Solanum lycopersicum: one gene and its partner. The protein of the gene in region 2 binds, or shares a complex with, the protein of the main gene of each other region. Links are inferred from orthologs where the notes say so. Each region holds a gene or a part of one and is shown on either strand. Other genes may lie near its edges. The genes, in order: COP9 signalosome complex subunit 7 and CSN3.

Region 1 (4,437 bases), on a different chromosome or scaffold from region 2:
GGTTCTTTTCCATCAACATTTAATTGAATTCATGACAAGTTATTACAAATACAAGAGCGGGTGACGCATTGTATGAAACAGCATGCGGACCGTGTGAATCAAATATTGTATTGATGATTCACATGGTTTTCTACCATATGCAGTTCAATTTCATTGATTTTACTTAATTCTTAAGTTAAGAGAAGAAAAAAAGAAGACTTTTTTTCATTAGCACTTCTACTCAAAATATCAATCGTATCAAGGTGTTGAAATAACCAAATTCTTACTAGCAAAAAGATTATCATAACTTAAACTTGGAATGTGATATTACTTTATAAAAAGGCAATTGTGAATAAAAGTGATTACTGAGAAGGAATAAAAATTATATCATATTTGTAGTGTTATGTCTTATATACCTGAGCCAATAAGAAATAAAGAAATAAATTAATAAGCAAAATAGATGAGAAAATGGTTTTGAAGAATGTAATTCTATACGCTACTATTACTTGATACTATGGCCCCTATGTGGAACAAAAGTTCTATTCCAGTCTTGCTACGATCAAGAAATCCACATCAACCAAATAATTTGATTGATTTTGTAAGAAAATTTAGAATCAAACCAGTTCAAGAAGAACTATACCGCATAAAGTCCGAACAACTGAGGCTAAACCATGTCCTTATTAACTTCCCAGCCAACAATGAACTCATTTACGGAGAAACAAAACTTGAGAAGTTAATAACTTAATATTGATACCCTCATTTGCACTAACGCTCTATTAACAATTAGAAGAATCTTCAAGTTCTTATACATATGACCAAAAGCATATTCTATCTCAAAGAAATACCTCGAAATGATAGGGTACAAGTTCACAATATTATAAAATTTAAGGCATTTAATATGAAAGAATGGTAAATGAAGTATTGCAGATAAATTGACATAATGGCAATAAAAAGAACATTGTTGAAATCTCCAACCTGGAAAAGCGGATCCAATCAGCTACCCAGCCTACCCAACAAAAAAAATGTTTCTAAAATAATCAGATATAAAAAAAAATGTACGCTTACTTTTGTAGTCACTCCATGTTCCATGAGCAAACAAACGAAGCAAATCAAGGTATACTGAATTCTCAGTTCCTCCAAGCTGCATATAGGTCCAACAAAAAAAAACAATTAACCGCAAATATGAAAGGGATCCCAAAGTATATATACAGCAACATGGCAATATGGTGTTAACTACACAACTTGCAAAAAGTATATCAAGGTACAATTTTCAGGTGCTCCCAATAATCCTCTGCATTGAAACAAATGTTTTCTATGCCCATATTTTTCAAAAACTTACAGTTTGAGATTCAAATCTCACAATTAGATTTATGTTCCAGCAGAATCAACTATAATCTAAGTCTGTGATGCATAAATCTAACCTGAATCTTATGATTCAACAACCAACGTTGAATCACAGGTGCAATTTATAGTCAAGAAATACCACAATAAAGTGCCCACTTCAGATATGGTCTAACCTGACTGATCAAAAGCACTTCTTTTGCCCTTTATTCCCAGATGTCTACCTAATTGTCATAAAGGAACTCTAAAGAGAATCAAAACCGAGTATAAAACCCATTTCCTATGTAGCTCGGACTCTTCCAAACTGTCAATAGTGCATGTCGGATTCGCCAAAAGTAGTGTATTTTGGTGAATCCGACACGGATGCGGCATCAAAGTGAAGAGTCCGTGCAACTAAGCCCATTTCGATATGCTTAGGGTTTTGAGCTCTGAAGTTGATTGAATTGATAGGATGAACCCAAGTTATTTCCTCATTAATGATACTGTATCCCCTACGCTTCTATTACCTCTTTTAAAATCAATCAAATTGTAGTATCTTGATCCATTTTAGTTGTGTTTCCTGATATTCATTCCTTTTGTGTTTTGAAAATCATCTGGTACTTGATCATAAGATAAAATATTAACTTTTCATCTATTTATCCATGATCTAAAACATCTACATAGACTATTCAATATTTAACATACAGCCATATAAATGAGCAAGAGTTTGTAGCTCATCGGCAAAATATTGTTTTCATTAATCCATCCCAGTTTACTCAAAGCTTTCCTTTCTTAAGACATCCCCAACATTTTTCCTCGTACCACAAGACCAATTACTACGCCTAACGCAGGCACTTCCAATATGAGAGGAAAACCCACTAATCAAATTATCAGGAAATTCCATCAACAACAAAAACAACAAACCAAATGTAATCTCACAAGTGGTGTTTGATGTCCAGGTAGGGTAGAGTGTACGCGCAGACCTTATCCCTACCTTTGAGAAGGTAGAGAGGCTGTTTTCGAAAGACTCAACAAACAGATACCCAGAATGATATCATATTCCAGATATTGCCCAATCAATAGCATAAGTACATAACCACGACACAATGTTCAGGGTAAATACCTAGAAACCCAGTATAGGAAAAAACACACAAAATTACAAAAAAACAAATTAACGCAACACCTACTAACCCAATTATCATAAAAAAAAAAAAAAAACTTCAAACAAAATCAGAACAAGTGTAGAAATAGTAATATGAATGAATGGAAACCTCGAGAACACTGGGAACAGAAAGAATCTCTGAAAAAGCAAAGAGTGATGGATGCGAAGTGGCTTCAACAATAACAGTGGTAAGGGCAGAACCCTTGAGTGCTGATGCTTGTTTCACAAAGAAGTCGATGTGCTCCGCTTGCTTTTGTTCGATATCCATCTCTCTATGAATAATTAATAATCACAAGTAATCAGGGGTTCAATAACATTTATAGACAAAAGCAAAGAAAATTATTAGGGTTTCTGATTTCCGATTCAAAGATTTATCACAAAAACAAATAGAGAAGAGGGCTTTTTTAACTGTAAAATTTTGGAGTCCCACGGAGAAGAAGGGCGCTTGTCTGATTTGGTATGATGCTTTGAGCCCATCGCGGGTCCTTTTATACTTTTGATTTACTTTTAAGCTTCTTTCAATATTTTACAATAATAATTACTCCCTCCGTTTAAAAAAATAATAATAATTTAAAATAAAATTTCAAAAAAGGAATAATATATTTTAATTTTATGTAACTAAATTAAAGTTATGTCAAGTATATCAAAATACTTTTTAATTTTATATTCTTAAACATGTCATATCGTTAAAATGTTGCCAGAAAAGGAAAAATATCATTCTTTTTAAAATATACAAAAAAGAAAATAAGATCATTATAAGAAATATATACTAATTATTTTATATGTATATTAAATTTTAATAAATTTCAATAATAATATATTCAATATGATAACGTAGAGTGAATGTCATGTTAATCAAATCATGTATACTGAAGAAAGATTTTTGACATTGACATACTATTAATCTTAATGGCTTTGTCGTATGCTTTAGGTTGATTTCATGTCAATGTATTTAAATTTGAATATACCATTATTATATGATAACTTATCAATAAAATAGTATTTTGTATTTATACAATTAGATAGAGAGTTACTTAACAAGTAAGGGGTTGCATTTTACGAAAAATTCATCAAAGAGCTCTTAGCAAATGTGAGACAATCACTTCTTTCAATCTTTCTCGATCATAGATATTATTGTTTTTCACTTGACACCTTGATAATAATGAATAACTTGTATCATCTTTCCTCAAACTTTTATGATTTAATTTTATGTTTTTAATCATGTATGTTATGTCATTTTCAATCGTGGCATATTTCGGATGCTTGAAGGTCCCGCTGACACGAAGTGATTTAGAAATATTCTTCTTTTGTCGATGGTGATCGGTCATGGTATACACAACCTTGCTTTTTTTTCGTTCAAATCCTGATTTCGTTTTGCTTCTCCCGATCGTCGAGCCTGATCGATTTGACTCTTTTCCATGCCCCCGACCTCTCACTCTATTTCGTTCTACTTCTGTACCATTGCTTGAATAAAGACACCCGGCCGACCCGACTTTCCCAAATCCCCCCCCCCCGACCCTTCTCCTTTACGGGGTCTAGATTTTTCGCGTCGTTTCAATCGTCGTGGTCGACGGAGAAGAAAGAAATGAATGAATATTCTTTTGGGTTATATATATATTTTGAAAATAGTTGCAAGACAAAAACTGAAACCTTTCTTTTATTGTTGTTCCTCCCAGATACATGGCTTACATATGTGGCTCAACATTCTTGGAAAACAACCGAATCGAGGGTTCGGGAGCCTATAAAACGTTTGTTATGATATAAGGATCGTGCGCCTACCCGAATTGACTTCGCTATTGCTTCCGTGTAGGGGTCGATCCCAAAATAGGGATTTTTTTATGTGAAAGGAATTTTGAAGCGAGTATTATTTTATAATAAATCTGTAAATGTAAATTATAGTCAACTTGCTATTAACTAATTAAGCACAAATTATTACTTTAAATATAGATAAAATAGTCAAATAAATAATGTTTTAA
Region 2 (4,563 bases):
TGATGATTATTAACTTTTTTTGGAAATAAAAAAGTTCTATTGTCTGTATCTGTTATTGCAATGCTAATAAGTGCTAACTGCAACAAATGCGCTCTTTCCTCAGGAGATCAATTCATTTGAAGGGGATACCTCAGGAAAATGTAAGGAAGTACTGTTTTAGTGGTGCAATATTATTTCAATTGAGTTGCCATTCTCATAAGTTGTTGTCTTGGTTGCAGGCAAATATTCCCTGAGAACAGGGTATGATGAATAAGGGATCTCAGTTTCAATTCTTGCATCCCCTTGTCTGTGGCATCTTTTGGTTATGACTCTCAGAAATTTGTGAAAATTCATTTCTTCTGTTTTTGGCGGTGATCCAATTTTTGGCTTTTTGCATGCAGAAAGGTCGCAAAATTCCTGTTTGAAAACTTCCTTGCTCGGAAGGGGAAGGAGGAGGTAGAAGTTGTCAACTTGTCCTTGCTTATGAAGGGGAAAACAAAGGGAGACAGTGCAAGGGTGTTCTACGAGATACTGGTATTGTTTTTAGGTTCCTTTCATCTTTCTGGTAATTTTAGGTCTGCCAAATTGAACTTGTGGATGAACGGAATTATTTGATACATATTTTGAGTAGCGCTTTCAGCAGGAGTTTTTGTCCCTTGTTTCCCTTCTGTCAAGCATCCAGGATGTGCTCTAGATGGTGGTGCTTAAAAAGGAATTTCTTTGGTTCTATTGTTGTTAAATGCCCCCGTGTTTCTTGGCCTATAAACATTGGTTATAATGGACGGACACATGAATTTATTTTACGCATTTGTCTCTGGTTTTACGTAAATATAATCCAACGTAAGATATATACATTGTGAATTATTTACAATGCTTATTTTCCACGCAGGTTCTGAAATCAGGAGGCTGTATAGATGTGCGGCAGGATGATGCCTACAGTGACATTCTTTTGCAAAAACTCCCAAGACTAAAGCAGACCTTTGAAGCTGAGTCCTGAATCTATATATATATGTTCACAAAGAGAGCTGTGTTGGTAAATAGTAGCCAGAGGAAACAATCACATGACATATATGCTTTTATATATGTTTGGTAGTATATATGAGTGGAAGAGCGCTTTTCTTTGCTAGCTATTGCTCTTCCTCCTTAACATGAAGGCAAGTTAGGTTATTGTTAACTATTATGTCTTCTATCAGGAATTAGTTGAATTTATTGTCAATGTTTTGGTTTATAACTACTACTGGTGCCCAATTTAACCACTTGTGAAAAGCTATTACTCCAATTTTCTTTAACATCAAATACACGAAAAGGCTTTTTATGAGAAAATTGTATACCCAATATATATCTGGAAGTGGTTATAGAAAAATATTGCTCTACAATGTTGTCAATTCATAGGCGTTTTAATCAACAATGAGCAATAATAGTTGTGACTTATGTCGTATAAATATCATGTTACATTTGTATTTGTGAGTTTTAAAAAGCTTTTATCGCGAAAAAAAAAAAAAAAAAAGACATGGTAGGAGTAGGACACAAAGAGGTCTTTCGTGTCTTTAAGTACTCATAGAATAAAAATTAGTTTATGCATAAAAATTTTGATGTATTATTTGATTGTCAAATTCGAAATAATTTATTCCTCCAATTTTATATGTAATGGAAGAAAAAAAATTAAAATAATTTTTAGGTATTTTTAAAATGTTTAATAATTTCTTTTTTAAAAAGAAGTTTTTGTAATCTCTTTATATAAATTTAAATTTAATAAAAATAGATGAAAACCCAATCGCTCTTTATTTTTAATTTATATAAGAGAAATAAAACTGGACATAAAAGAAGTCCCAATTATTTCTTTTTATTTATTACCCAGTCCAGTTGAAGCCTCGTCTCTTAGACGTGAATCTGCTGAAACTCATAAGTGTGTTGATTGGGCGAGAGAGATGAATCTGAACATGAATTCAATGGAATCAGTGGTTGCTCAAATCCAAGGGCTATCGAGCAATTCATCAGACATAACTCAGCTTCACAACTTTCTCAAACAATCGGAAGAGCTACTCCATTCCGACTTCTCTCGCTTGCTTTCTTCTCTCGCTGAACTCGATCCTTCTATTCACTCCCTAGGTTTTCTCTATATTCTGTAAGTTCCTTTTCATCCTCATCTCTTATTCTTATAACCTAAACCTAGGGTTTCTATTCTGAAGATTATTATTTGTTTAAATTAGCCATTGTTAGGTTATATATATAGATATATTGATTAAAACACCCTGGGCTGTGGCTTAGTCATCGTGGGCTATGGACGATGAGGTTTCATGTTAAAATCCCAATGCAGGTGTTTTTTTCCCATCTGCCCTAACTTTGTTGGACACCTGGTATTGGTACGCGTGGAATTAGCTTGGTGGACACCACGGTGATTATGAAAAAAGAAAAGCTAATTGACAAAGAGGATTGTTATGGTCAACACCAATACATGTAGGATTGAGGCATAGTTGATTGATTGATTACATAATCTATAAAAATAATGCAGAATTGAACCATCCACTGAATTAAAGACCAGTATTTGTGTAACAAGTGCGCGTTGTCTTTTGTACTCTGTCTAGTGTGTATTAATCATATAATTGTGTTTGTTAACTAACAGGGAGGCATGCATCTCATTCCCAGTTGCAAAGGAGCATGTTAGTGAACTGCTTGTTTCTGTCGCTAGATTTATCAATTCATGTTCTACAGAGCAAATCCAGTTGGCGCCCAATAAGTGTAATTTTCTCTGGTTTCTGGAATAGCTTTTGTGAATATTCTTGTTTCTGGTCTAACTTATATTGAGGCACGTCTTCAATTTGTGGTTGCAGTCATTTCTGTTTGTAAAAAGTTCAAGGATCATGTTTTCGGACTGGAAACTCCGATTCGTGGTGTGGCTCCAATGCTGACTGCTATTCGTAAACTGCAATCCTCCCCTGAGCAATTAACAACATTGCATGCCGATTTTCTTCTTCTTTGTCTATTAGCAAAGTGCTACAAAACTGGCTTCTCTGTGCTGGAGGATGACATATATGAGATTGATCAGCCACGGGAGTTTTTTCTCTATTGTTACTACGGGTTAGTTGTTTCAGACTTTCTGCTTAGAAGTTATTTCAGTTGTGTTGGTGTCGTTCCCTTGTTCCGTTCCTTGTTTAAATTTCTCTGTGACTTTTAAAAAAAAAAATTGGAATATTTTTTATGGCAATTCATTAAATCATGCTTTCCTATCAGTGTGTTTTCTAATTTTTATAGGAAAGAGGAACTTTACTCGCCTATGAATATTTGTATTTGCTTGTATAGTTATCTGGTGAAAGAATTAATTTTGTTCAAAAACCCATGGTATTGGTATACAATTATCTACGTCTGCCTTTCTTACCTTTGATATTGTTTAGTTCTCCAACCTAAAGACAAAGTTCTTAACAGCAATGTGAATCACAAGTGATGTATCAATTTAGAATGAGATTGAGTAATTCAATATTTTCTTAATTAAAAAAGTCACTGATATAATCTTTCTATCGCTTTCTGGATTTTTCTGGATTTGTGTCTTATACTTGTTGACATGTCTTATAATTTGAACATAATAACAGGGGAATGGTTTGCATTGGACAAAAGCAGTTCCGCAAAGCATTGGAACTCTTGCACAATGTATGTTACTGTGTTCTCATTCCATGTTTCCTTTATTGGTATTTGGTTTTGTTATTCCCTATTTGCAAGTTACTATATATTATCTATATCTGTCCGTTTGTGCTGATTCTATCTGTTATGCTTCTAGGTTGTGACTGCACCTATGTCTACTCTAAATGCAATAGCAGTTGAAGCTTACAAAAAGTACATTCTGGTTTCACTGATTCATCTTGGGCAGGTGTGTTTTGCCACCATTTTTTACATACTTTTGGTGATAATATTTAGTCAATATTCTTGTGACGTCTCTGTTGGACAACAGTTTGTGAGATCTATGTGTCTTTTCTGGGGCTTGAGCTTGCACTGCCGTATAACCTTCTTATTTTACATTATGTATGATATTATCACCGATGGACTCGTTTAGTTTGAGCCACAATGTGTCAACTTTTTAAAATGATTTTGGCTTGTAATATGCACTTTGAGTAGAGATGTAAGCACCCCCCTCCCCCCCTCACCCAAAACAACAACAAATATGCACAAAGTAAAAAAGAATATGATAGGTCATGTTTCCGATGTTTATTCTTGCTGATTTTCGTTCTCCTGATTAAATTGAGGTTTGCTTATCATGGCAGTTCTCTACCAGTTTTCCCAAGTACACTTCTTCCGTGGCTCAAAGGAACTTGAAGAATTTCTCTCAGGTAATTATTTCAACTGTGCAAACATTGATTCCAAGTAGCACCGACTGTTCCACCCAAAGCAAATTGAAAGGAATATTTTCCCTCAAATGATTTGATGACAATGCAAGCTCAGTTAAGTATGCACAGTTGGCGTTACAATGTTGATGTTAGAAATCTTGTACTGATTCAAGTGTTGTTTCAAAGTATAAGCATTGCATATTTTGTATTAGCACTTAGCAGGCTAGGCATGAAACTACATAAATGATAATGAAACAAGAAATATATC

The links.
Region 1: CSN3 (region 2) and COP9 signalosome complex subunit 7 share a complex: the UniProt entries of both Arabidopsis thaliana proteins name them as parts of the CSN complex. The link is inferred for Solanum lycopersicum from reciprocal best matches to the Arabidopsis thaliana genes COP13 and FUS5.

The regions. Positions count from the first base shown.
Region 1 is NC_090800.1:79,720,409-79,724,845, reverse strand, and holds the start of COP9 signalosome complex subunit 7, read right to left. Parts: upstream 2,942-4,437; 5' UTR 2,730-2,941; coding exon 2,571-2,729; intron 1,121-2,570; coding exon 1,045-1,120; intron 1-1,044. UniProt on the Arabidopsis thaliana protein: Component of the COP9 signalosome complex (CSN), a complex involved in various cellular and developmental processes such as photomorphogenesis and auxin and jasmonate responses.
Region 2 is NC_090801.1:70,963,055-70,967,617, reverse strand, and holds the start of CSN3 (COP9 signalosome complex subunit 3), read left to right. Parts: upstream 1-1,633; 5' UTR 1,634-1,907; coding exon 1,908-2,104; intron 2,105-2,602; coding exon 2,603-2,718; intron 2,719-2,810; coding exon 2,811-3,057; intron 3,058-3,566; coding exon 3,567-3,624; intron 3,625-3,751; coding exon 3,752-3,841; intron 3,842-4,232; coding exon 4,233-4,298; intron 4,299-4,563. Other genes in the region: sister chromatid cohesion 1 protein 2, read left to right, coding at 104-140, 219-240, 381-513, 869-976. UniProt on the Arabidopsis thaliana protein: Component of the COP9 signalosome complex (CSN), a complex involved in various cellular and developmental processes such as photomorphogenesis and auxin and jasmonate responses.